Oryzias latipes: one gene and its partners. The protein of the gene in region 1 purifies or fractionates together with the protein of each later gene. This does not show direct contact. Links are inferred from orthologs where the notes say so. Each region holds a gene or a part of one and is shown in the gene's direction. Other genes may lie near its edges. The genes, in order: ubr5, atmin, sox2, plk1, cep78 and dyrk2.

Region 1 (3,500 bases):
TAAAGCATGGATCATCAGTCCGACTGGTTTCCTCCTCCAGGGGGGAGCATATATTACTGTTCCTGGTCCAGACTGTGGCCAGACAAAGTGTTGAGCACTGTCAGTACAGACCACCACGCATCAGAGAAGACAGGAACCGCAAAGCTGCCAACGCTGAAGGTTTCTTCTTCTTCACTTTGTTCAGATCACACAGATTCTATGAACAGGCCCTTTTACATGATCTGTCCTCTTCTTATTTTTTGAACGTTTCTGCAGATTCTGATATGCCTGACCATGACCTCGAACCGCCTCGCTTTGCTCAACTTGCTCTGGAGAGGGTTCTGCAGGACTGGAATGCCCTCAAATCAATGATCATGTTTGGTTCTCAGGAAAACAAAGACCCGTAAGTTTCTGAGGAAAGTAGAAATGTTGTTGTCGGCAGGAGTATTTTCAGGAAGTTTGAATATTTTGTGCAGTAAATACAGAACATATGGGCACAGAAGTTATAATTCTCAAAATAATTCTGTGAAAGGAAAAAGCTCTGCACATGAAACTTGAGTATCCATAAAAAGATTTTGGTCCTGCAGTGTTCCTCTAGTCATTGTTTGACTGTCTTAGTTTCATGTCTGCATTGCTGTTTTTGGTGACATTTTCCAATGCATCATGGGAAACTGATCCAGAGATGTTTTGAGGTTTTTTTCATCTGTCAGTTAATGAAACAGGATCCTTCGTCTTCACACAGTTTGGTGATCTGTATGCGTCTCTTGTTTCCTAGACTTAGTGCCAGCAGTAGAATCGCCCACCTCCTGCCTGAAGAACAGGTCTACTTGAATCAACAAAGTGGCACCATCCGCCTTGACTGTTTCACACATTGCCTCATTGTCAAATGTGCTCCTGACATCACAGTGAGTCCACTTTTTTCATCTATAAAAATTGATCTTCCATAATGAATAAACAGTTCTCCATGTCAAGTGTTCTGAAAACTCTTGAGGTGTTTTGGATGCATTTAAATCATTGTCTCGATTCTGTATTAGTTCATTGACACATTGCTGGGGACCCTGGTGAAAGAGCTGCAGAACAAATACACTCCTGGCCGGAGAGAGGAGGCAGTGATTGTTACCAGGAGGTTCCTGCGCTCCGTAGCGCGAGTTTTCGTCATTCTCAGCGTGGAAATGGCATCGTCAAAGAAGAAAAAGTAAGAACACGGTTTCTTTTCGCAGTCCACAAGCTGGCATAAGGCAGGAGGACGAAACAGAATTCCGTGTGTCTGATAAATCTGGCTGCAGCTTAAAATGACTTTGTGACTCATGGGACTAACTCTGTCTCCCTTTTTTGTTCCTTAAATTAGCAACTTCATCCCGCAGCCGATTGGGAAGTGCCGGCGTGTTTTCCAGGCCCTGCTCCCGTACGCTGTGGAGGAGCTGTGTAACGTGTCGGAGTCTCTCATCGTCCCCGTCCGCATGGGCATAGCGCGACCCACGGCTCCTTTCACCTTGGCCAGCACGAGCATCGATGCGGTTCAGGGCAGCGAGGAGCTCTTCTCTGTGGAACCGCTTCCACCGAGACCCTCACCCGACCAATCAAGCAGGTAAGTTTGGTTTTCTTACAATGAAAGAAAAAATTAATATACATTTCTGGATGAAATCACTCAGGGTTTTTTCCCCCCCAGCTCTAGCCAAACCGCTGCCTCCTATATCATCAGAAACTCTCAGCCCAGACGCAGCAGCCAGTCTCAGCCTGTCAGGGGACGAGACGAGGAGCAGGACGACATCGTGTCAGCTGATGTGGAGGAGGTGGGGAGCATCCCAATATTATTCAGAGTTAAATTTGCCTTTGGCTGCGTGTCATTCAGTGCACACTGGTGACGGACTCCAGTAATCACCTCCATGAAGCCCCTGGACTCCTGCATTTTCTGCCTGGTTAACTTCAACAGGAAACCAATCCTAAACCTCACTGATTTTTATGAGTAAACTAACTTGTTTTTCATCTTTAGTGGAACAACCAAAAAACTCTCAAACTTGAGATGAACATTTTCCAGACGGGTTCTGGCCTCTCCAGCGTGTGACGTCACATGACGTTTCATCACAAGATTTTAGTAACGTTCTAACTTGAATACTCATTATATTCTTTATTCAATATATTTAAAACATCAATTTTCAAAATTTATTTCAGTAAACTGAACTTTAGTCTCATTTTATTTTTATCTATAAAAATGACTTCATAGTTTTACTTTCAACATAAAAAAGCTTTACTGACACTTTGTCTTGAAAATGTATTTACTTCCAGTGTCAGTAGCACACACGGTTTGTTTAGTGTATATGCTTGAAATCCATTCATTTTCTGCATTTCAGAGCCATAATTATATTGAAGTGTATTTTTATTATACTATATTTATGAATATCGCCAATCTGTGATCTCCAGCATCACAATTCAACACATCACAAACATCACATTTGTGCTCCTTTTCTCTGGAGCAGATTGCATATATTAGAGTATCTGAGTACTGCAGCCCCATCAACTGAGCTAAGTTGGACTTACTAATAAAATCGTTGATTCTTACAAAAACTAAAAATTAAATGTGACAAACTACTCACAAGAAAAATCAAATCATGGATTTCATTGACATCTTTTTCAGACTACAAGTCACTCTGGAGCATAAGCAGTCAAAAAAAAAAAGCATAATAAAGAAGAAAAAAAATCCTGTGTAAGTCACACCGGAGTATAGGTCCCCTTTTGGGAGAAAAATACTTCTGAACAACGTTGCCAAGGCCGGCGTAATGCTGCATTCACACCGAATGCAACTCATGTGCCCAATTCGCTGCCTTTCCTTAGTCGCTGTGTGAGAAGAGCTACCGCCAAAACTTTATAGCATCATTTCGACATTAAAGCGTTGTCTGTGTATCCAATTTTCAATGCAGGAGTGACGTCTGAATGACGGCCGCTTTCAGCGGTACTTCCGTCTCTCTGTCACCCAGTTTGATGACTTGGTGTCCAGAGTCCGAGGAGTGACAAAATAAAAACAAAAATAAATTATAGGATCTTTTTATTGTTGTCTCAATGAAAAAAAAAAAAAGATCTTTAAGTTCAGGAGTAAAACAGTCAGATTCTACTCTGTTTGGGACTCCTCTCACTAATCAAATAGAGCAGCACTTCTTCTCAGGTACTGTAGCAAATACTGATAAACACCTACAGTGCCCCCTAGTGGGGAAAATAATGAGTACATGAACGTATTTATTTTTTAAAAATTGCATGCAAGTTGACCCTAATATAAGTCTCACTCCTGGCCAAACTGCAAAAAACTGTGACTTATACTCCAAAAATTATAGTATTCCTTTTTTTCCCCCCAAACCCACTTCTTGTGGTCCACACGAGCCAAAGCATGGAGCGGCTTCTGATGAACCTGCCTGTTTGTCGATATGATCAGGTTGTTTTCTTCAGGTTGAAGTTGTGGAGGGAGTAGCAGGGGAAGAAGACCACCATGACGACCAGGAAGAGCAGGGAGAGGAAAATGCAGAGGCGGA
Region 2 (4,056 bases), on another chromosome or scaffold:
GCAGGTGAATGACGCGCAGCAACAGAGCAGACCGACTAAACTTGGTGGAACAGGTGATCTGAATGTTTATTGATAACGTTCCAAATGTCTGGAAGCTCATTTGTTTGATTTATTAAAGTTTTATTTATTGATGGGTGGTTTTGCAGGATCTCTGCAGCCCGATGAAGCCGTCGGTATCCCTGCAGCTGTCCACTTCAATCCTTTCTTCCTCCACCAAAGACCACTACGCCTATGTGACGCTTCCGTCAAAAGGAGGAGCACTTTTTTGGGTTTTTTCAATAATGCTAATATAACGGACTATTTTTGTTGAATAGCCACAGGAGCTGTTGCCGTTCAGGCCGCGAGGGGGCAGTATTGAGCCACCCCGGGATTTCAGGGGTGAAGCTGGACGGGGAGCTGCCAGCAGGTTGTACACGGCGCGAGCCGGCTATGGTTGGAGAATAAAGTTACACTTGAAGAAAACAACGAGCCTGTCATTCCTTCCCACAAGCTACTACAATTTTCATTCAACTTTGTTGTTTTATGCTGAAACAGGACGCTTCATCTGCAGGAGGTGGCGTATGTAACACCGTTTACTTCCGCATTGGTGTTCGGATGACAGGTTCATGACGTAAGGTGAGATGAACTTCAGGTTATGTGAATGAAAAGGAGAATAAAAGTCTGCAGCGGTCCTCTACACCCAATCGTGTCTCTGAGCTCCTTATTTTACATATGAAAGTCCGCTTTACTGACACCGAACCCCGGAAAGCCGGCTCCACTGACAATAATCTGATTTTGAGTCGCCAAAAGGTTCAGAATCTCTTTGTTTTAAACCTATAATAATCCTGAAACAAAGCTTCACAAAAGGCTCTACATATTTCATCTTCAAGCTAGGCTCCGATAAACAGAAAACTTCGGTGTTTTCTCCTTGTTAATGTATGAGATTAAAAACTCGTAAATTTACGACTTTTTTATCTCCTAAATTTACGAAACTTTATTTCGACTTTTATCTCGACACGAGTTTTTTCTCGAAACTTTGTGCCGAGTTTTTTCTTATCATGGTGACATTAATCTCGTCATGACGAGAAAAAACTCGTCGTCATATTTCAAATGTCCATGACTCCATCACATGCTGTATCACAATCCCTAAACTACAATTCTATATATTTTGTTTTATTTATTTATTTTATTTTTCTCTCTTTTTTTGTGTGTAGTTATGTGTATGTTTAAAGTTCAAAAAATAAAAATATTTCAAATGTTCGTACACTGCACAAATATCCGCCAAGATGCTTTTAAAAATGAATTGCATTTTATTTTGTAAAGCGGAAGTCAGAACGTTATCCTGGATATGACGTGGAGGTGAGAAAGCCTTTCGGACAGAGTGGAGGGGCGTTCGTTATGTCTGTGTTATGTTCAGTGTATGGAGTGTTCATTCTTAGCTGCAGCTGAAGCTCCGGCAAACACAGCGTGGATCTCTAACACAAACATGGCCGCTTCTGCGATAAACAAGAAGAATTACAGCGATTCCACGACGACAGACGCTCTCAAAAGCGAAGAGGATTCCCTGCCGCTATGTCGCGAAATTATAAAACCCACCATCAGTGAGCTGACCAAAGAAGTGAGGAAAAACATCCTCTGCACAGTGGAAGGATGCGGGAAGATTCTTCCCAACACACCTGCATTGAACATGCATCTTGTTAAATCGCACAGAATAAAGGTAATCACTCTGATCACGAACACTTAGTTAGCATGCGTGGAACCAATGGCCGGCTGAGCTAATTACTGCTGACTTTACCTGCCAACTAATAAAAACGCAAGTCATTCAAACTCATAGCTAGCGCTTATAGCAGGAGTGATGTAGCAAACAGAAACAAGGCATTGTAGTTAGCATTTGTTTAAAGGGAATGCATTAATTTTAAGCTTATGCTAGTTAACTGTTAGTTAAAACTAGCTAGCTAGCTAGCTTAAAGGGTTAGCAAAACGCGCTGTCAGTTCCTAAATCTAATGTTTGACTTCATTTCCAGTTATAATTTAGATGCAAAGAGTTAAGATAATATAATTACGCCAACAACAAAACAGATGACATTGGAAATGCAAGTTTTTCCATTTTTACTGTAATGTTTATTAGCTTTATAAATTATTCAAATACATTTAATTTATGCCACTAAAAACCAACGGACATTGTTGCTGGTTAAACTCAAAGAAATAGTGCATCACTGCAACAGCAAAGAGTGAAGCTATTTATCATGTTTAGGATAATTTAAGCAACAAATGAATGAACGACTGTGATTTGTAAGTTGTGGTGGATGTATGTACGTACATGCAGTTTTATTATTATTATTATTATTATTATTATTATTATTGACTAGTAGTTAACAAGGAAAGTATTCATTGCGTTTCTCCCAAAGGTTTACATTCTCTCTTTTTGCTGGACTGAGTTTTCTTGTGGGATGTTTTGAGTCAATGTCCTTCCTTATTGAATATGTGTTCTTTCTTAAGGTCACTCAGTGTTATCCTATAACATACTGAGTTCTTTAAATGACAGAAGCGACTGTGAGTAAGAATAAGAACAGGTTGTTGATGGTCAAAGAGGGAAAAGTGGAAGAGTATTCAAAGAAAGTGCTATTTCTGATCTTAGACACTTGCCCATCTGCCAAACATGTTTTAACTGTTGAAAAAACTGAGAAGAATTCGCCGTTGTTTATACTGTTAGGAGCTTACATGTGTTAAAATTTTTCTAGAATTGGCATTCTGATTGTTCTGCATAAATATTTTAGCTTCATTACTCTCACAAAAAGTATCATTAGGTCACATATTGACAATATCTCTGATGAAATATTGGGTTTCTCTCTTTAAAAAAAAACATCTATATATCAGTAGAATTTTCTTATTTTTCTTAGGGGACTCGGTTCAACCTCCTTTGGAGCTAATGTGGCCGTTTGGCTTGGCACAAAGCAAGGCAGCTTTGTGCCTCTCAATCTATTACACTTAGCGACAAGAAGAGTAGAACTTTAGCGACTGTTGATGTCATTTATCCGCCGCTCAGTCCCACAGAGAAGATCAATCTCAAGTCTTTGCAAAACTGTTCTGACCCTGCTGGGGCAGGACGGTGAATCGGAACGTCTTTTCCCTATTAACTGTCTGATGACAAATGACTCCAGTTTGTGTCTATATGAGGCAGTCTGCAGCTATTTGAGTACCGTATGCTTTGTTCTTACTTATGTTAAGGTTAAGCTTTATAAATGCCAGCTTAGATCCAGGCTGTTTATTTGTAATGGTGTGGATTCTTAATACTCCGTTAGATTAAAGATAGGAGTTTAGACTAATTAGCTGACTAAAAAATTTGTTTTTTTTTGTTTTTTTAATAAGATTTTTGGGAAACCTTCTCTGCCCAGTTTTCTATTAGGAGAAAGTGCAAGCTATGGTTATTGTGCTGTTTTTCTCATCTGTTGTTTCTGTTGGTGTGTTTCAGGATGGCATCATCAATCCTACAGTCCGAAAGGACATGAAGGCCTCTCAGAAAGTTTACTGTTGTCCTGTGGAAGGTTGTCCAAGAGGACCTAACAGACCCTTCTCCCAGTTCTCCCTTGTTAAGCAAGTTAGTAAATTCTCATTTATCTGCTGTTCTTGATGTTCTTATACAGAGACAACTGAAAGTTGAAGCTTTTGGTCAGAGCTGAGAATTGTTGTCTCCGGAAAATGGTTTCTGTAACGACGGAATAAAAATGTTACCTAATAAGTCATACATAATTCTCAGAATTGCACGCACCTTCTGTTGTCACCATGTTATATAACAACAACATGCATTGATGTTCTCTCATCTAATTTCTAGTATCAGAATTAGCATACATATAATTCTGACAGTGTGAATAGCCTTTCTATCCAGATGTAGATTGGATATCTTTAACATTTTGTCAGTTAATTATAGATGAATTGCTGTTATGTAACATTTACCATTTACGTTTCTTCTTTCCTTTGTTAAAGGCTGTTGTTCGCAAAAAATCCAAATCTATTTGACAATATAACTGTGGTTGGGTCCTTCATTTGTTGTGTCAGTGTTTGTTTATTTAATAGAGA
Region 3 (2,947 bases), on another chromosome or scaffold:
GGCCGTTTCTTGATCCAGGACTAATTGAAGCGCAGGTGAAGGCCGCGTTTTGATTCCCACTAATTGGCTGACACACTTGTTGGAACTCCTATGAATGTGTAGATCTTTTGTGCGAACACACTTTCATCTTAAAATATTCCTCACCTTTCATTCGGTCCCTGTCTCGTGTCTCCGGTGCGCGTACCACGCCACAAAGACCCATGCGTAACTGCAGCGCTGGCACTGTGGAAGTGGAAGTGGAGTTGGGGTCTTTGTCCGGACAGATGTAGCGACAACATCCCAAACAAAACGCGCTTATTTGTGCTAAGATGAGGCCGTCTGCCTTCTGTGTGTGTTGGCATTCAACTTCACCTAAACAAAAGGACTGGGGGAAACATCTTGGATTACCTTTTCTCTTTTCAAGGCTAAAAAACGAGCCGTGGACACCCCCCCCCTCTCCACCTTCTTTTACGCACACATTCACCCCACAGCTCTGCTGTTCAGAGCTTTCAGTGAGTTAACTCACAAAGTTTCTTTGCGTGTTATGTTATTGGGCCATTAAGTAGGGTTGATTAAGTGGCTTTTTCATTTGGTCTGGATATGCCTCATATTTCATCTAAAAAACAATTTAGAATAAAAATAAATCTGTTCTTTTTTAAAAGAAATAGTGTCATGTTGCTTCAATATGTCTAATTTAATTTTAAAAACGTATTCAAAAAGTAGTCTTTTTTTTTTACTTGTACTTATTAACTTTTTACATTTTGAGCTTTTAAAAGTTACAAAAAAGTAATTTCTGATTTTGAAAATGCTGCATCTCTGCGTCGTATAAACTTCCACCTAAAAGGTGTAACGTATTCACAAAGCGCTATCAAACATAGAAATTCCCACAAGCAAGATGAAATAGTAAATATGTACTTAGTATTGTCTGATATGGGCAGCAGGAGCCGGAGTGTACGCCTGTGCCTCGCTGCGCTCCAGACTCCGCCCTTTTCCGACCACACGCTCTCCCATTGGCGCGCGGGGCTCGCTCTGATTGGTCAGGCCGAAGCCATTTATTCACTGACAGCCCCTTCACATGAATGGTTGTCTATTAACTTGTTCAAAAACTATCTGGAGTTGTCAAGGCTCAGGCGGACTGAGGCGAAAAAGTACAGTTTGTTGATGCTTTTTGCGAGCAGCCGCGGGAGAAGTTTTGTGGACACAACATTGCCGGGACGTGTTGGGAGAAGGCTCTCTGTCACACACACTCACACACACACGGTGTGACACGCTGAGTGGGAGTGAGAGGGGGAGAGTGTGCGGAGACGCGCGGCTTGATGCTCGTTGTTTTTGTCCAGAGAAAAGTTGCATAGAAAATCGGCAGGTAACTGAAAGCGCTCGTGCGCTCCTCTGTCTGCGCTCAGCTTCTGGAGAGAAGCTCCTTTTTTTTCTTTTTTCTTTTTTTTCTTGTCTTTTTTTTCTGCTCGGGAGCTCCCAGCGAAAAGTTAAAATTTTCCCTGATGTATAACATGATGGAGACTGAACTGAAGCCCCCTGCTCCCCAGACCAACACGGGGGGCACGGGGAACACAAACACGTCCGGCACCGGCACCAACCAGAAAAACAGCCCGGAGAGAGTCAAAAGACCCATGAACGCCTTCATGGTGTGGTCCCGAGGCCAGAGGAGGAAGATGGCGCAAGAAAACCCCAAAATGCACAACTCGGAGATAAGCAAGAGGCTGGGCGCAGAGTGGAAACTTCTGTCAGAGAGCGAGAAGAGACCTTTCATCGACGAGGCTAAGAGGCTGAGGGCCCTGCACATGAAGGAGCACCCGGATTACAAATACCGGCCCCGGCGGAAAACCAAGACCCTCATGAAGAAGGACAAATACACCTTACCGGGCGGGTTGCTGGCTCCTGGAGGAAACGGTATGGGGACCGGGGTCGGTGTCGGGGTAGGGGCCGGCCTGGGCGGTGGGGTTAACCAGCGGATGGACAGTTACGCGGCGCACATGAACGGCTGGACCAACGGGGGCTATGGCATGATGCAGGACCAGCTGAGCTACCAGCACGCAGGTCTGAACGCGCACAACCCGAGCCAGATGCAGCCCATGCACCGCTACGACATGAGCGCCCTGCAGTACAACTCCATGACCAGCTCCCAGAGCTACATGAACGGCTCCCCGACGTACTCCATGTCCTACTCCCAGCAAACCACGCCGGGTATGACCGCCCTGGGCTCCATGGGGCCCTCCTCGGTGGTGAAGTCCGAGTCCAGCAGCTCCAGCCCGCCCGTCGTCACCTCCTCGTCTCACCGGGCCGCCCCGGGCTGCCAAAGCGGTGATCTGAGGGACATGATCAGCATGTACCTGCCCGGGGCGGAGGTCAGCGAGCAGACTGCCCAGACCAGGCTACACATGTCCGGCCACTACCAGAGCACCGTGCCCGGGACGACGATCAACGGCACGCTGCCGTTAACACACATGTAAGGGACAGAGCGCAGGAGGGGGGCAAAAGCAGACTTTTATAAAAGCTACTGTGGACTACTTAATGTTGGACTATTTTTGTACAGAAAAAAAATGGGTGAGAAAAAGTTGTATAGAAATCTTCAAGAAAAAAAGGGACTTTTTTTTCTTTCCTTTTATCCTAAGGAAGCATAGAGGAACGGTAGATCCCCTCTTCACTGTTGGATGAAGTTTGGAAGACTAGAAAGTGGGAGTCGCAATCAAATGTTTTATTATTGCAATCACCTTTTGTACAGTATTTATCAAAGAAACATTACAATCAGATGAAATTGTTTGTTAATCTGCAAGAGGTTGCATTTTTATTTTCCTTTTTTAATTATTATATATATATATATATATAAAGCTGGTTCTGCAGAGAACATTAAAAGTGAAAAATAGCAGAACAAGAGTAATGGAAGTGATCAGTTATGCTTCCAATTAAAACATTGGAATAAAAAGGGACAAAAGATGCAGGTATTTTTTTT
Region 4 (3,940 bases), on another chromosome or scaffold:
TTAGGGGAAAAACAACTTTTTTTTTTTTTTTTAGCTTGGCATGTTGAAACCAAACAGTACAGTCAATATCCAAATGTAAAAAATTGGGAATCTTCATGTATTCTGGAGTTATTATTTAAGTATAGGCATCAACAGGTTAACCATCATGATCAGAAAGTGAAAGTCCTTAATTTCATCATGTTAACATCTTGTCAAATAAACAATAATCTTGGTATCACAAAAACGATGTGACTTTTTTTTAGTGTGGCAAGACAGATTAAACCATTACTGCAGGTTTACTTTCTCATATTGCTTTTGTTACACTATATTTTACTGCTTCTCACCATTTTATGCTTTCCAGCATAAATAATCTTTCAAGTTAAACCCTGAGGCTTTTTTGCTCAAAATCCTTTTTGAATTTCAACCAATCTAGAGTGAAAAATATCCTCCTCACTACCGGCAATAAAAACTTGTCCCCATAGTGGACATTTCTAGACCTGAAAATTATTCAACCACTGCAATTACTGAATGAACTCCTTTTGGTATCTACAGAGGGCATTTGTGGCTTTTCAATGATTACAATGATACACTTAGAATGCCGATAGCACTGTCTGAGAATTTGGTTTGAAACAGTATTTAATGGTTGTTCTAACAGAGTAGAAATTAAAAGAAAACATGAGAAGAAAGCAAACACTCACATGTTTCTCAATTTATGAAAAGTTGAAAGTTTTTCAAGGAAGTGTGGCGCAAGATGAGTGTACACAGTCAGCATGGCAATCAATAAAAATAAAAGTGTATAACCTGAACCAACAATGTCTGTCAATAAAAATCCATCCAAAAAGTGAAAATGACAAATTCATAAAAAACTCATAGTCTAACAAAGATTAAATAAACTTCATATGATCCTCTGCATTCATGTAATATTAGTGTTCAACTAATAACATGAACCTAAATGATCGATATTGGATCAGGAGTGGCCATAATTCGGATAACGCTAATAACAAAACACTTTCGAAATTAAATCCTTTTCCCGACTACATTTCCCATCCGTCTTTCTCGAGGAAACAAAAACAGCCTTTCAGCCAATCAGATTGTTGGAGGCCTTCTACTCTACTCCTGATTGGCTATTTTTGTACACATGTTCCCAAGATGCTTTGCTGTGACGCTGTGGAATTCAAATCTAGCAGACCAATCAACGATCGCCAAAACGACCGAGCCAGCATTTTAAATTTGTACGAGACACTTGTTATCGAAAAGGCAGAACGGGACAAGGCAACCGCTGCCGGGGAAGTCTGCGCAAGAATTCTGCCTCCGGTTTTTTTTTTAATTAATTTATTTAATCTTGGGACCTGTCGGCCTTTAAATGTTAGTCAACGTTTGCGGTTTAGATCGTTTGTTAGTATTTGCTGTAAATTGAGGCGTAGAAAAAGTTAGCTTCGAAGGCTAAACTAACGTCGGTTGAGTTGGAGGGTTAAACAACACTTTAGCCCTTGTTTAATAACTTTTGCGTTTCGACTTCTTTGGAGTTTTATTAACGCGGAAAGAGCACTTTTAAAGTACACCATGAGTGCTGCTATCGCAAAGCCGGCGCAGCCGTCCGGACACGTCGACCCAAAATCGGCTCCTCTGAAAGAAATCCCAGAGGTTTTGGTGGATCCCCGCACCCTGAGGAGATACTCCAAGGGCAGGTTCCTCGGCAAGGGGGGCTTCGCCAAATGCTTCGAAATTACAGACATGGAGACCAAGCAGGTTTTCGCTGGCAAAATAGTGCCCAAGTCGTTGATCCTGAAGCAGCACCAAAGGGAGAAGATGAGCTCGGAAATCTCCATTCACAAGAGCCTCAATCATGCTAACATCGTGGGCTTCCACGGCTTCTTTGAGGACGACGACTTTGTCTATGTGGTCCTGGAGATCTGCAGGAGAAGGGTGAGGATTTTGGGAACTCTAAATGAAAATACATGAAGGCCAACGGTTAACAATGTGGCCTCTTCCGTTACCCCCCCCCCCCCCCCTCCTTTGGCATAGTGCTGGGAGACTCAAATCCCCTGATCACTGCTTTAAATCACTGTTACTTATCCTAAACCAGTAACTTTTTGTAATTTAAAACTATAGAGATATCTAAATTCTTTTTCCCCTTTGTGTTGTTCCACGTGTTGTTTTTAACACTTCTTGAGGTGCCACTTCACTTCATCCAGCTTGTTCATGCTCTCCCAGCCTCCATTTTCCTCCACTGAGTTCAGCCGCTCACCAGAACTGTTGTCCTTTTTCAAGTCCCTGTTGGAGTTGCACAAGCGCAGGAAGGCGGTCACGGAGCCGGAGGCTCGCTACTACATGACCCAGCTGCTGAAAGGGGTCCATTATCTGCACAGCAACAAGGTCATCCACAGAGACCTGAAACTGGGGAACATCTTCCTCAACGACGACATGGAAGTCAAGATAGGTATGGAGAGCAGGAAACCTGTCGGTGTAGTGACAAAGAAACGGGCACACCCATGTTCTTGATATGCTCCCATAACTTCCTTGTTGAGAACTTCCAGCTCCAATTTGTTAACACCCATATTTGGCTTCTTAATATCCTTTACTCAGATTAAACGCTGATCATTTCTTTCTTTCCTTTTTTGCTAGGTGACTTTGGTTTGGCCACAAAGATTGAGTTTGATGGTGAACGGAAGAAGACCTTGTGTGGAACGCCCAACTATATCGCTCCGGAAGTGCTGTGCAAGAAAGGCCACAGCTATGAAGTGGATGTCTGGTCACTTGGGTGCATATTGTAAGTGTGTAAACCCACAGTGGAGTGGGGAAGAGTGTCATTCCACAGGATTCTGGATACTCAACTTCCTTCCTGTATCCTCTCATAGGTACACTTTGTTAGTCGGCAAGCCTCCGTTTGAAACCTCATGCCTGAAAGACACATACAACCGGATCAAGAAGAACAATTACACCATCCCCTGGGTGAGAAGAGCTGACGTTAATCCCTAAATGTACGTAATAGTTGGTGAAAGAAAATCTTAAGTTTACCGTCACTTCACTTGAATGCTGCAGCAAATCAACCCGTCAGCCTCGGCTCTCATCAAGAGGATGCTGCATGCCGATCCTGCCCAGAGGCCCACCATCACTGACCTGCAGACGGATGAGTTCTTCACATCGGGATACGTCCCCCTGCGGCTGCCCACCACTTGTCTCACTGTGCCCCCGCGGTTCTCCATTGCCCCCTCCATGGCTGCAGAGCTCAGCCAGAGGCGCCCCCTGACTGCCATAAACAACAAAGGTAACAAACCCAACAATTGCCCAAAACTGGTGCACTGATAATGAAAGTCTGCAGTTAATCAACAGTGATATTGATGGAGGTTTTTTTTATATATTTTTTTTCTCAGCCGGCACAGAGAAGGTGGACATGAAAGACGAGCCTGCTCCACTGTGAGACATCACACTAAGGTCTAAAACATGCGTCGTAGTTTGATCAAAAATGATAAATGGGAATTTTGTGTGCAGAGAGGCGGAGCCAGAAGAATGTTACCTGAAGGACATGCTGCAGCAGCTCAACAGCATCATCTCTGCCAAGCCTTCAGAGAAGGCGGTCATTCGGCAAGGTGAGAGCAGCCGCCTGCAGGAACTACCTAAACTTTCTGCAGTTTTAGTCAGTCCTTCTTACAGAAAACCCCTTGTCTTTGATTTCAGAGGAAGCAGAGGATCCTGCGTGTATTCCCATCTTTTGGATCAGTAAATGGGTCGACTACTCTGACAAATATGGATTAGGTAAATTCTAAATCTTAGGACAGGTTTGCCTTTTATTGTCTTGCTTTTAATGGAGAATTAAGGGTGTGCTGTAAATTGCTTTCGCAGGATACCAGCTTTGTGACAACAGTGTTGGTGTTCTATTCAACGATTTCACCCGACTCATCATGTATGCTGATGGCGACAGTCTGCAGTACATTGACAAGAAGGCTGCTGAGTCCTATTT
Region 5 (4,259 bases), on another chromosome or scaffold:
CATCTCCATACAGGCCACTGCTGTCTGGGGTTTAAAAAAAACACATCGCCAGTTCGGGCAGCGGCCATCAACAAACTCAACGGCTAAATAGATATAAAAAGGTTTTGAAATAATGTCGAAATTACCTGTTATGCAGGGAAATGTCTTTCACAGCAACCGACCAGCGGTATTTTTCGTTACTAATCGAGCTATAAAGACGTCTGAGATATTTTTAACTTGGTGCCCCCACGTTCCGCAACGTAGTTTTGACTTTTCCCTACCTCTCCAGAGTAAAACTGGGATTCCTGGCATGAAGCTAGCTTGGATCATGACTGACGTTGTTTCTGACCAATGGCCTTTCGCACAGTGAGCGACTGGGCGGGGTCTGTGCTGCGGTGTGACGCAAGGCTAAAAGGCGAGAGGCAGAGGCGAGTGTTTAGAGACCTTGAAACCAGGCAGAGAATTCAAATGTCGATGACACTTATTTTACTGAACTATACAGCAATTATGAACATTTATTTAGCAGAAGCTACTAAAGAAGTCACAAAGTCGGATTAGCTTTTAAAGTTTAAATACACTGCTTGATGTAGAGTAAACCAGTTATTACAAAAAAATCAACCCAGATTTAAAATATCATTAGAAAACAAGTAACTTTTGTTTCCATCAGGTAAAAAAGAGGAAAACACTCTTACTTTGACGTAATTTAAAAAAGGCCCCAGGCAGACAATAATTTTGCTCAGCACTGTTTTTTTAAGGCTCTGATAATACTGATAACAATACAAGTTTAGTTATTTTACAACCAACCTTGTCTAAATTAGTACTAAAGTAAATGTACATGTTTAAGTCTCAGGACAAAATTTAGGGGGAAAAAAGGCAGACACCAACATTTAACTCTATAAAAGCCATTTGCAGTAATAATAACCCCTAAGAAACACTCATCAACCCAAAGTGGTTGACACATATCAAACAAAATGATCTGATTAGGATTTGAGTAAAAAAGCCAGGGAAGCAAACTGAAAACAAATTAAAACCAACACGTCAATTTTAATTAAAGGAATTTTAACATTAAATTCAGATTTTTTTTTTTTGACAACAGATTTCTAATTTTATTTTATTTTTCATATCTGAAAAGTTTATTTTATTTTTGTAAATTTTTAAACCAAATTCAAATAATCAGTAGACCTGCCTTTTTGTTGCTTTTATGAAAGCGTTTCTGTAGCATAAAATAAAAATAAATGTCAATACCAGAAATGCTTTTTCATTTTCAAGAGGAAGCTGCATTTTTTGACTCAAAATTAAAATGGAAAAGCATTTCTGGTATTGACTTTACTTTTTAATTATGCTACAGAAAAACCATCATATGCTTTTCTTGATCTGACATCAGCATAACAGTTTGTATTGTCAGAGGAGTAAATACACCTCCCAGCCAGTAGGTGGCAGTGTGTTGTTTTTACTGACACCCCGATACCAGTGTTGAAGACATGTGGGCGCGGTTTTGACGGTGCAACAGCGCCACTTTTAAGCATTTAATAACAACACAAGAGGAGACTACAGAGCGGTTTATACCGTGGAATTTGACAATAACAGAGGGTTCAGTTATGCCCGAAAAGGTAAAGCTCGAATGTTTTCCGGTAGTTATTACTGGATAACGTGTTGAAAACCAGATGAAAACTGATTTTTAAATGTTTTGTCCTCTGCTGCATCCAACAGTTGCTAGGACGAGCTGAGCTTGGCTTGCTAACGCCCGCGTATCTTTTCTATAAACACCAATCAGAACCAAAAGATTTGTTGAGTGCACACTATTAATTTTAAATGCAAGTTTGTTGTATCTTTCTTAATAGCCAATTTCTTGGTTTTACTCACATATAAAGTTTAGTTTGCAGAAACAGAGTTTTTTTTTACTTGCTTTGATTGCTGTTCTGGAAAACGCAGGAAAACTTTTCGTTTTTCCCCCCTTCTGGTTAATCTTTAAGTATTTGTAATTGTTCTTATTTTTTAATTTTATTTTTTATTTGAGCATTTTGATAGTTTAACACAAATTGTCAGTGCAATCAAAAATAATGAGTTTACATTTACTTGCTTTTAATTGAAGTACTGTTAAATACATCACGTGTAATACCTTTGTTTAAAAAGGAAACCTCACTGCGTGCATGCATAGAACAAGAAAATAGTCAATTTGTCTGTTATTCTATTAGAAACATGGTGGCCTAAATGAAGTAAAAGTATTGGGTATTTTGATTGAAGGACTGCCTTATTATCATCCCCAGGTCAGACAATATGGTTCAAGACAACGCACAGATTCGCCAGCAGGGTGCCCAGGACTTTATGGCGTACTATGACTTCGCCTGTGCCAAGCAGGAGACTTTTCCTGTCCCTGCTGTTAAAGTGAACCTTGACAAAGGGATGCTGAACTTTAATGCAGACCGGCTCAAACTATCTGACTGGCCACCCATTCTGCAAGCAATATCTATTAACAAGCACCTTCACCACATCGCTATAAGCAGCACTTACCAAGCTAGTAACACTTCAGGAGATACAGGTAAGCCTGAAAGTAACAGCAGTGGTAATGGTTAAAGAAAAACAGCATGTGTGAGTATATGGTCTAAGTTTGGATAACAATACCAACTGTATGAACCGTCAGTTTTGAAGAGGAGGCAGCATAAATCCACCTTTAAGAGGAAGATTCCAGCCATTCGCTCAAAGGAGATGACATTCAAGCTGTGCAAAGCCTTGGGAGACTGTTTAACTGTTTCCTCCAACCTCAAGACTCTGCAGCTTCATGGACTTCTGCTGAGAGAAAGGGACCTCATCGCTTTGACAAAAGTAAACAGACATATGGTTATTATCAGTATTTTTTTTTTTGCAAAGAGAAAAGGGCTAATATATTACACATTTATTATAGGACAAGGATAAGCTGAAGTCTGATAAACAGAGTTCTAACTGCATGTATATGTCCTGTTCCAGGGTTTGGCAAAAAGTGCTTCTTTGAAAAATCTCTCTTTAGCTAACTGTCCCATCTCAGATGAGGGATTGGAAGGTATGTATTATTATTGTAGTAACATTTATTTATACTTAATGCCTTATTCGTCTATATTTATCTCTGTTTGGATGTAAAACTCTGTTGATTGTATTGTTTGTGCATTATTCTTGCTTTGATTGCTTGAAATAAACCATTTCTAATCCAATATTTTCTAAACTTAAAATAAATTAATCACATGTTAAGTCTTTATTTTTTGTAATATCTGTATGTTCCAGTCATTTGCCAAAGTGTGAAGTACTCTACAACCATCAAGACAATTGATTTCACAGGATGCAGTCTTACATGGAGAGGGGCAGAGCATTTAGCCAACATTATTAAGGTATGATAGATACAATTACATTTTTTTATGTTTTCTAAAAGGCAACACAAAAATCAAATGGAGATTTATTTAATTGTTTGACTCTTTTTTTTCCTTCTTTCTTTTCTTTACCAGCTAAATACTTCATAGACATTTTTCTGAGATAAAATAAACCAAGGGAAACAGGCAATATGCAGGGAGTGTTTTACATGTTGACACATCATCAGTTTTCTGGCTTCCATTTTTTTTAAATGATTTGATTGTACTAATTGATATTGCTTATTAAAGATGATCAAATCATTTTTTAATAATGATGAAAAAATGTATATTAAAAAGATGTTTATAGCGTTTGGTTTTTCAACTATTAGTACATCTACTGTAGTCGTGAAATGAACAAAGTTTCGCATTTCACTTCCAACAAATGAATCGATTTGATTTCAGTTCCCACGCTCACAATTCAAGTTATTTTTTCTTTGATTTAATGTCACTATATTTGAAAAAATATCTATTCCGTAATGAATTTCTAGTTTTTTTTTCAAAACAAAAGGAACAAAGAAAGAGAAATATGTCATACATTTGAAGAATCGATATTGCAATTTCTAAATGAAGATTGATTTCATTGGCTAAACTATTTAAAATTCCAATCAAAGGTTCAGATAGCAGCATTGTCCATTGTTGTTTCAGTATCAGGGAATGCAGAGACATGGTACAGCATGGGCAGAGTCTTTGCGGTATCGCCATCCACAGCTGGAAGGAATGAGCGGTCTTCGGCGAATCACTCTTAACTGTAACACTTTGATTGGCGATAGGGGTGCAGCTGCTCTCGCTCGTGAGCTGGCTGAGGACCTCTGGATTAAAGGTACATAACCATTAATCATATTCCTGTACAAAGACTGGCTGTGGTGTGGGAACTTTACATTTTTTTGTCTGATTGAACAGCTT
Region 6 (2,534 bases), on another chromosome or scaffold:
TGGATCGCTAACGGATGAACGTCTTTGTCTCCTGCAGGTCATTGACTTTGGTTCCAGCTGCTTTGAACATCAGAGGGTTTACACCTACATCCAGTCCAGGTTTTACCGAGCACCAGAGGTCATTCTAGGTAAGAAGATCCACCTGTTTTGGTGAATGAGTCCAACCACAGAAACTTGTAGGAAACTTGTTCTCTGGTTTGGCCTTAAAGGTGCTTCAATCTTCTACTAGTCCGTTTCCTTTTAATGTGCAATTTCAAATTAAAGTCGATCAGCGTTTATCGCAGGAGTTACGTTCTAAAAATAACTCGCGATAGACAAAATCTGTTATTTTTTAAAATAATTTCTAGAGGATTTAAGGCTGTAAACTACACACTTTATCCACTTTTCTTAGACAGATGTGAACATTTTCACAGTTTTCTCTCTTAAACTCTCAAAGTTCAAACTTTTGTAGAAAATAAGTTTAGAATGAAAACATAGATCTGATCGTGACTGAAGATGCAAATGTGTCCTCTGTGGAGGACATTTCCAAAGCGGAATATCTCCCAAATGCTGCAGACTAATGATTGACGTCCTATTTGTGTCTACAGAGGACAGTTGGGGCTTTTCAATGAGTCCATGTGGAGGACTGGGGTTCTGGGAATTGTAGTTTTTGGTGGTGACCGGACCAAATTTGAGAGGCAAAAGCAACATATTAACTTTTATGTCACATTTGCACTCAAATCTTCATAAAGCTGCAGGAAAACCAAGTGCTACTTCCGTTCTTCTGTGCATCTTTTACTTGAAAACATCCAGCACCAAGTTTTCCTTGGAGACTGAAGTGTGTTATTCTGAGCGTGTGCAGCATGGTTGTAGTGGACATGCGGGTCACTTTGATTCCCTTCCTTAGGGTTCCGGTCCGGTCACTAGAGTCTGGTACACGACGTGTTCAGACGTAAACTGTGACATCCTAAAAAATGATGGGATGTGAACAGTGAACGTAGCTTTAGTTGCAAAATAATTGAACCGTTGTGATGAAACGGTTCCACGTGGCTGGGAGTCCAGACCTTTGGTTTTCTGGTTTTCCTCATCTTCATCATGATGGAATTAAGCTCCAATGCATTATTGCATTATTCATAAAAATAAACCATGCTTTTTGGACTATGCGTCGCACCAGCAAAACAAAAAGAAAAAAAAATCATGTCAAAGTCGCACTTTTGGGAGAAAAGTAAACTTGTGAACAAATCCACCAAGCCGGACGTAAAGAAGTCTAGGACCTGAAAATGAGTGGAGGCTGACTCTGGTTTGTCCTTTTCTCTGAAGGTTCCAGGTATGGGATGCCCATCGACATGTGGTCGCTGGGCTGCATCCTCGCCGAGCTCCTGACTGGTTACCCGCTGTTACCAGGGGAAGACGAAGCCGACCAGCTCGCCTGCATCATAGAACTCCTAGGCATGCCAAGTCAGAAGATCTTGGATGCCTCCAAGCGGGCCAAGAACTTTGTGTCCTCCAAGGGATACCCGCGGTACTGCACCGTCACCACGCTGAGCGACGGCACCACGGTGCTGAACGGAGGACGCTCGCGGCGAGGGAAGGTACGCGGTCCCCCCGGCAGCAAGGTGTGGAGTACGGCGCTGAAGGGCTGCGACGACCCGCTCTTCCTGGACTTCCTCAAACAGTGTTTAGAGTGGGACCCAGCGCACCGGATGACGCCGAGCCAGGCTCTGCGCCATTCGTGGCTCAGGAGGCGACTCCCCAAGCCACCAACAGGAACCACTCCGGGAGACAAGACCTCTTCGTCCAAACGTGCCACCACTGACGGCACCATCACCTCCAATTCTAAGCTCGTAACCTCCTCAACAACCTCCTCCTCCTCCAAAACCAGGACTAACTTAGCTGCAATCACTGACGCCAATGGCAACATCCAGCCTAGGACGGTGCTGCCCAAACTTGTCAGCTGAGAGTGAATGCACCCCGCTCGCTGTGGCGGGAGACGAGAGCTGAGCTCGCAGCAGCCGGTGGGACCTGAATAAAACCGGTCTCTCCGGTTTTAAAGATCGTACGGTCTCGTTCAGCGTTGCTGGGGTGCGTTCAAAACAACTACAGCCAATAGAAACTCCGTGCTTGAGTGTGAACACGTGCTGGGATGGAAGTCTTTTTTTCTTCTTTTTGTGAACTGGGGTACGTTCAGAAGCTCCAACCTCCGTTTGAGACGAGTTGTTTTTAACAATTTGAGCAATTTGAGGTGGGTTCTGCTCAGACAATCTGAACACGCCACCTTCTGCAGCAGCAGACTCACAAACACAACAACAACAACAACATGGTGCTGATGGAGGGAACAAGGCTTTGAAAACATTTTCTGTGCAAATAATGTTCTTAGCTGGATTTATTATTGAGTTTAACACCAAAAAATTCTCTGTCTTAAGAGACTAAACCTGCAGTCCGACCTCTCAGAGAGCAGTTTTCTTCTCATTGACTGATATTTCCTTTTTAAAGCTAAAGAAAAAGATAAAAAAACATTTCAGTTTGCTTTTTTAGTTCATTATCAAACTCGCACA

The links.
Region 2: the proteins of ubr5 (region 1) and atmin purify together in Homo sapiens (affinity purification with western blotting; 3 studies listed by BioGRID). This does not show direct contact. The link is inferred for Oryzias latipes from reciprocal best matches to the Homo sapiens genes UBR5 and ATMIN.
Region 3: the proteins of ubr5 (region 1) and sox2 purify together in Homo sapiens (affinity purification with western blotting; 3 studies listed by BioGRID and IntAct, with this or other methods). This does not show direct contact. The link is inferred for Oryzias latipes from reciprocal best matches to the Homo sapiens genes UBR5 and SOX2.
Region 4: the proteins of ubr5 (region 1) and plk1 purify together in Homo sapiens (affinity purification with mass spectrometry; 4 studies listed by BioGRID and IntAct, with this or other methods). This does not show direct contact. The link is inferred for Oryzias latipes from reciprocal best matches to the Homo sapiens genes UBR5 and PLK1.
Region 5: the proteins of ubr5 (region 1) and cep78 purify together in Homo sapiens (affinity purification with western blotting; 3 studies listed by BioGRID, with this or other methods). This does not show direct contact. The link is inferred for Oryzias latipes from reciprocal best matches to the Homo sapiens genes UBR5 and CEP78.
Region 6: the proteins of ubr5 (region 1) and dyrk2 purify together in Homo sapiens (affinity purification with western blotting; 3 studies listed by BioGRID and IntAct, with this or other methods). This does not show direct contact. The link is inferred for Oryzias latipes from reciprocal best matches to the Homo sapiens genes UBR5 and DYRK2.

Annotation. Positions count from the first base shown.
Region 1 is NC_019874.2:6,539,902-6,543,401, reverse strand, and holds part of ubr5 (E3 ubiquitin-protein ligase UBR5), read left to right. Parts: intron 1-40; coding exon 41-159; intron 160-255; coding exon 256-382; intron 383-754; coding exon 755-884; intron 885-1,013; coding exon 1,014-1,174; intron 1,175-1,327; coding exon 1,328-1,567; intron 1,568-1,648; coding exon 1,649-1,772; intron 1,773-3,417; coding exon 3,418-3,500. UniProt on the Homo sapiens protein: E3 ubiquitin-protein ligase involved in different protein quality control pathways in the cytoplasm and nucleus. Mainly acts as a ubiquitin chain elongator that extends pre-ubiquitinated substrates.
Region 2 is NC_019861.2:22,521,767-22,525,822, reverse strand, and holds the start of atmin (ATM interactor), read left to right. Parts: upstream 1-1,256; 5' UTR 1,257-1,399; coding exon 1,400-1,696; intron 1,697-3,451; coding exon 3,452-3,577; intron 3,578-4,056. UniProt on the Homo sapiens protein: Transcription factor. Plays a crucial role in cell survival and RAD51 foci formation in response to methylating DNA damage. Involved in regulating the activity of ATM in the absence of DNA damage. May play a role in stabilizing ATM.
Region 3 is NC_019862.2:18,601,031-18,603,977, reverse strand, and holds sox2 (transcription factor SOX-2), read left to right. Parts: upstream 1-1,478; coding exon 1,479-2,447; downstream 2,448-2,947. UniProt on the Homo sapiens protein: Transcription factor that forms a trimeric complex with OCT4 on DNA and controls the expression of a number of genes involved in embryonic development such as YES1, FGF4, UTF1 and ZFP206. Binds to the proximal enhancer region of NANOG.
Region 4 is NC_019859.2:22,726,368-22,730,307, reverse strand, and holds the start of plk1 (serine/threonine-protein kinase PLK1), read left to right. Parts: upstream 1-1,140; 5' UTR 1,141-1,542; coding exon 1,543-1,905; intron 1,906-2,250; coding exon 2,251-2,419; intron 2,420-2,604; coding exon 2,605-2,749; intron 2,750-2,837; coding exon 2,838-2,931; intron 2,932-3,021; coding exon 3,022-3,247; intron 3,248-3,353; coding exon 3,354-3,396; intron 3,397-3,471; coding exon 3,472-3,569; intron 3,570-3,657; coding exon 3,658-3,735; intron 3,736-3,822; coding exon 3,823-3,940. UniProt on the Homo sapiens protein: Serine/threonine-protein kinase that performs several important functions throughout M phase of the cell cycle, including the regulation of centrosome maturation and spindle assembly, the removal of cohesins from chromosome arms, the inactivation of anaphase-promoting complex/cyclosome (APC/C) inhibitors, and the regulation of mitotic exit and cytokinesis.
Region 5 is NC_019867.2:7,051,823-7,056,081, forward strand, and holds the start of cep78 (centrosomal protein of 78 kDa), read left to right. Parts: upstream 1-1,459; 5' UTR 1,460-1,589; intron 1,590-2,246; 5' UTR 2,247-2,256; coding exon 2,257-2,518; intron 2,519-2,620; coding exon 2,621-2,802; intron 2,803-2,943; coding exon 2,944-3,016; intron 3,017-3,234; coding exon 3,235-3,338; intron 3,339-4,001; coding exon 4,002-4,176; intron 4,177-4,256; coding exon 4,257-4,259. UniProt on the Homo sapiens protein: Centriole wall protein that localizes to mature centrioles and regulates centriole and cilia biogenesis. Involved in centrosome duplication: required for efficient PLK4 centrosomal localization and PLK4-induced overduplication of centrioles.
Region 6 is NC_019881.2:22,945,386-22,947,919, forward strand, and holds the end of dyrk2 (dual specificity tyrosine-phosphorylation-regulated kinase 2), read left to right. Parts: intron 1-37; coding exon 38-128; intron 129-1,299; coding exon 1,300-1,937; 3' UTR 1,938-2,034; downstream 2,035-2,534. UniProt on the Homo sapiens protein: Serine/threonine-protein kinase involved in the regulation of the mitotic cell cycle, cell proliferation, apoptosis, organization of the cytoskeleton and neurite outgrowth. Functions in part via its role in ubiquitin-dependent proteasomal protein degradation.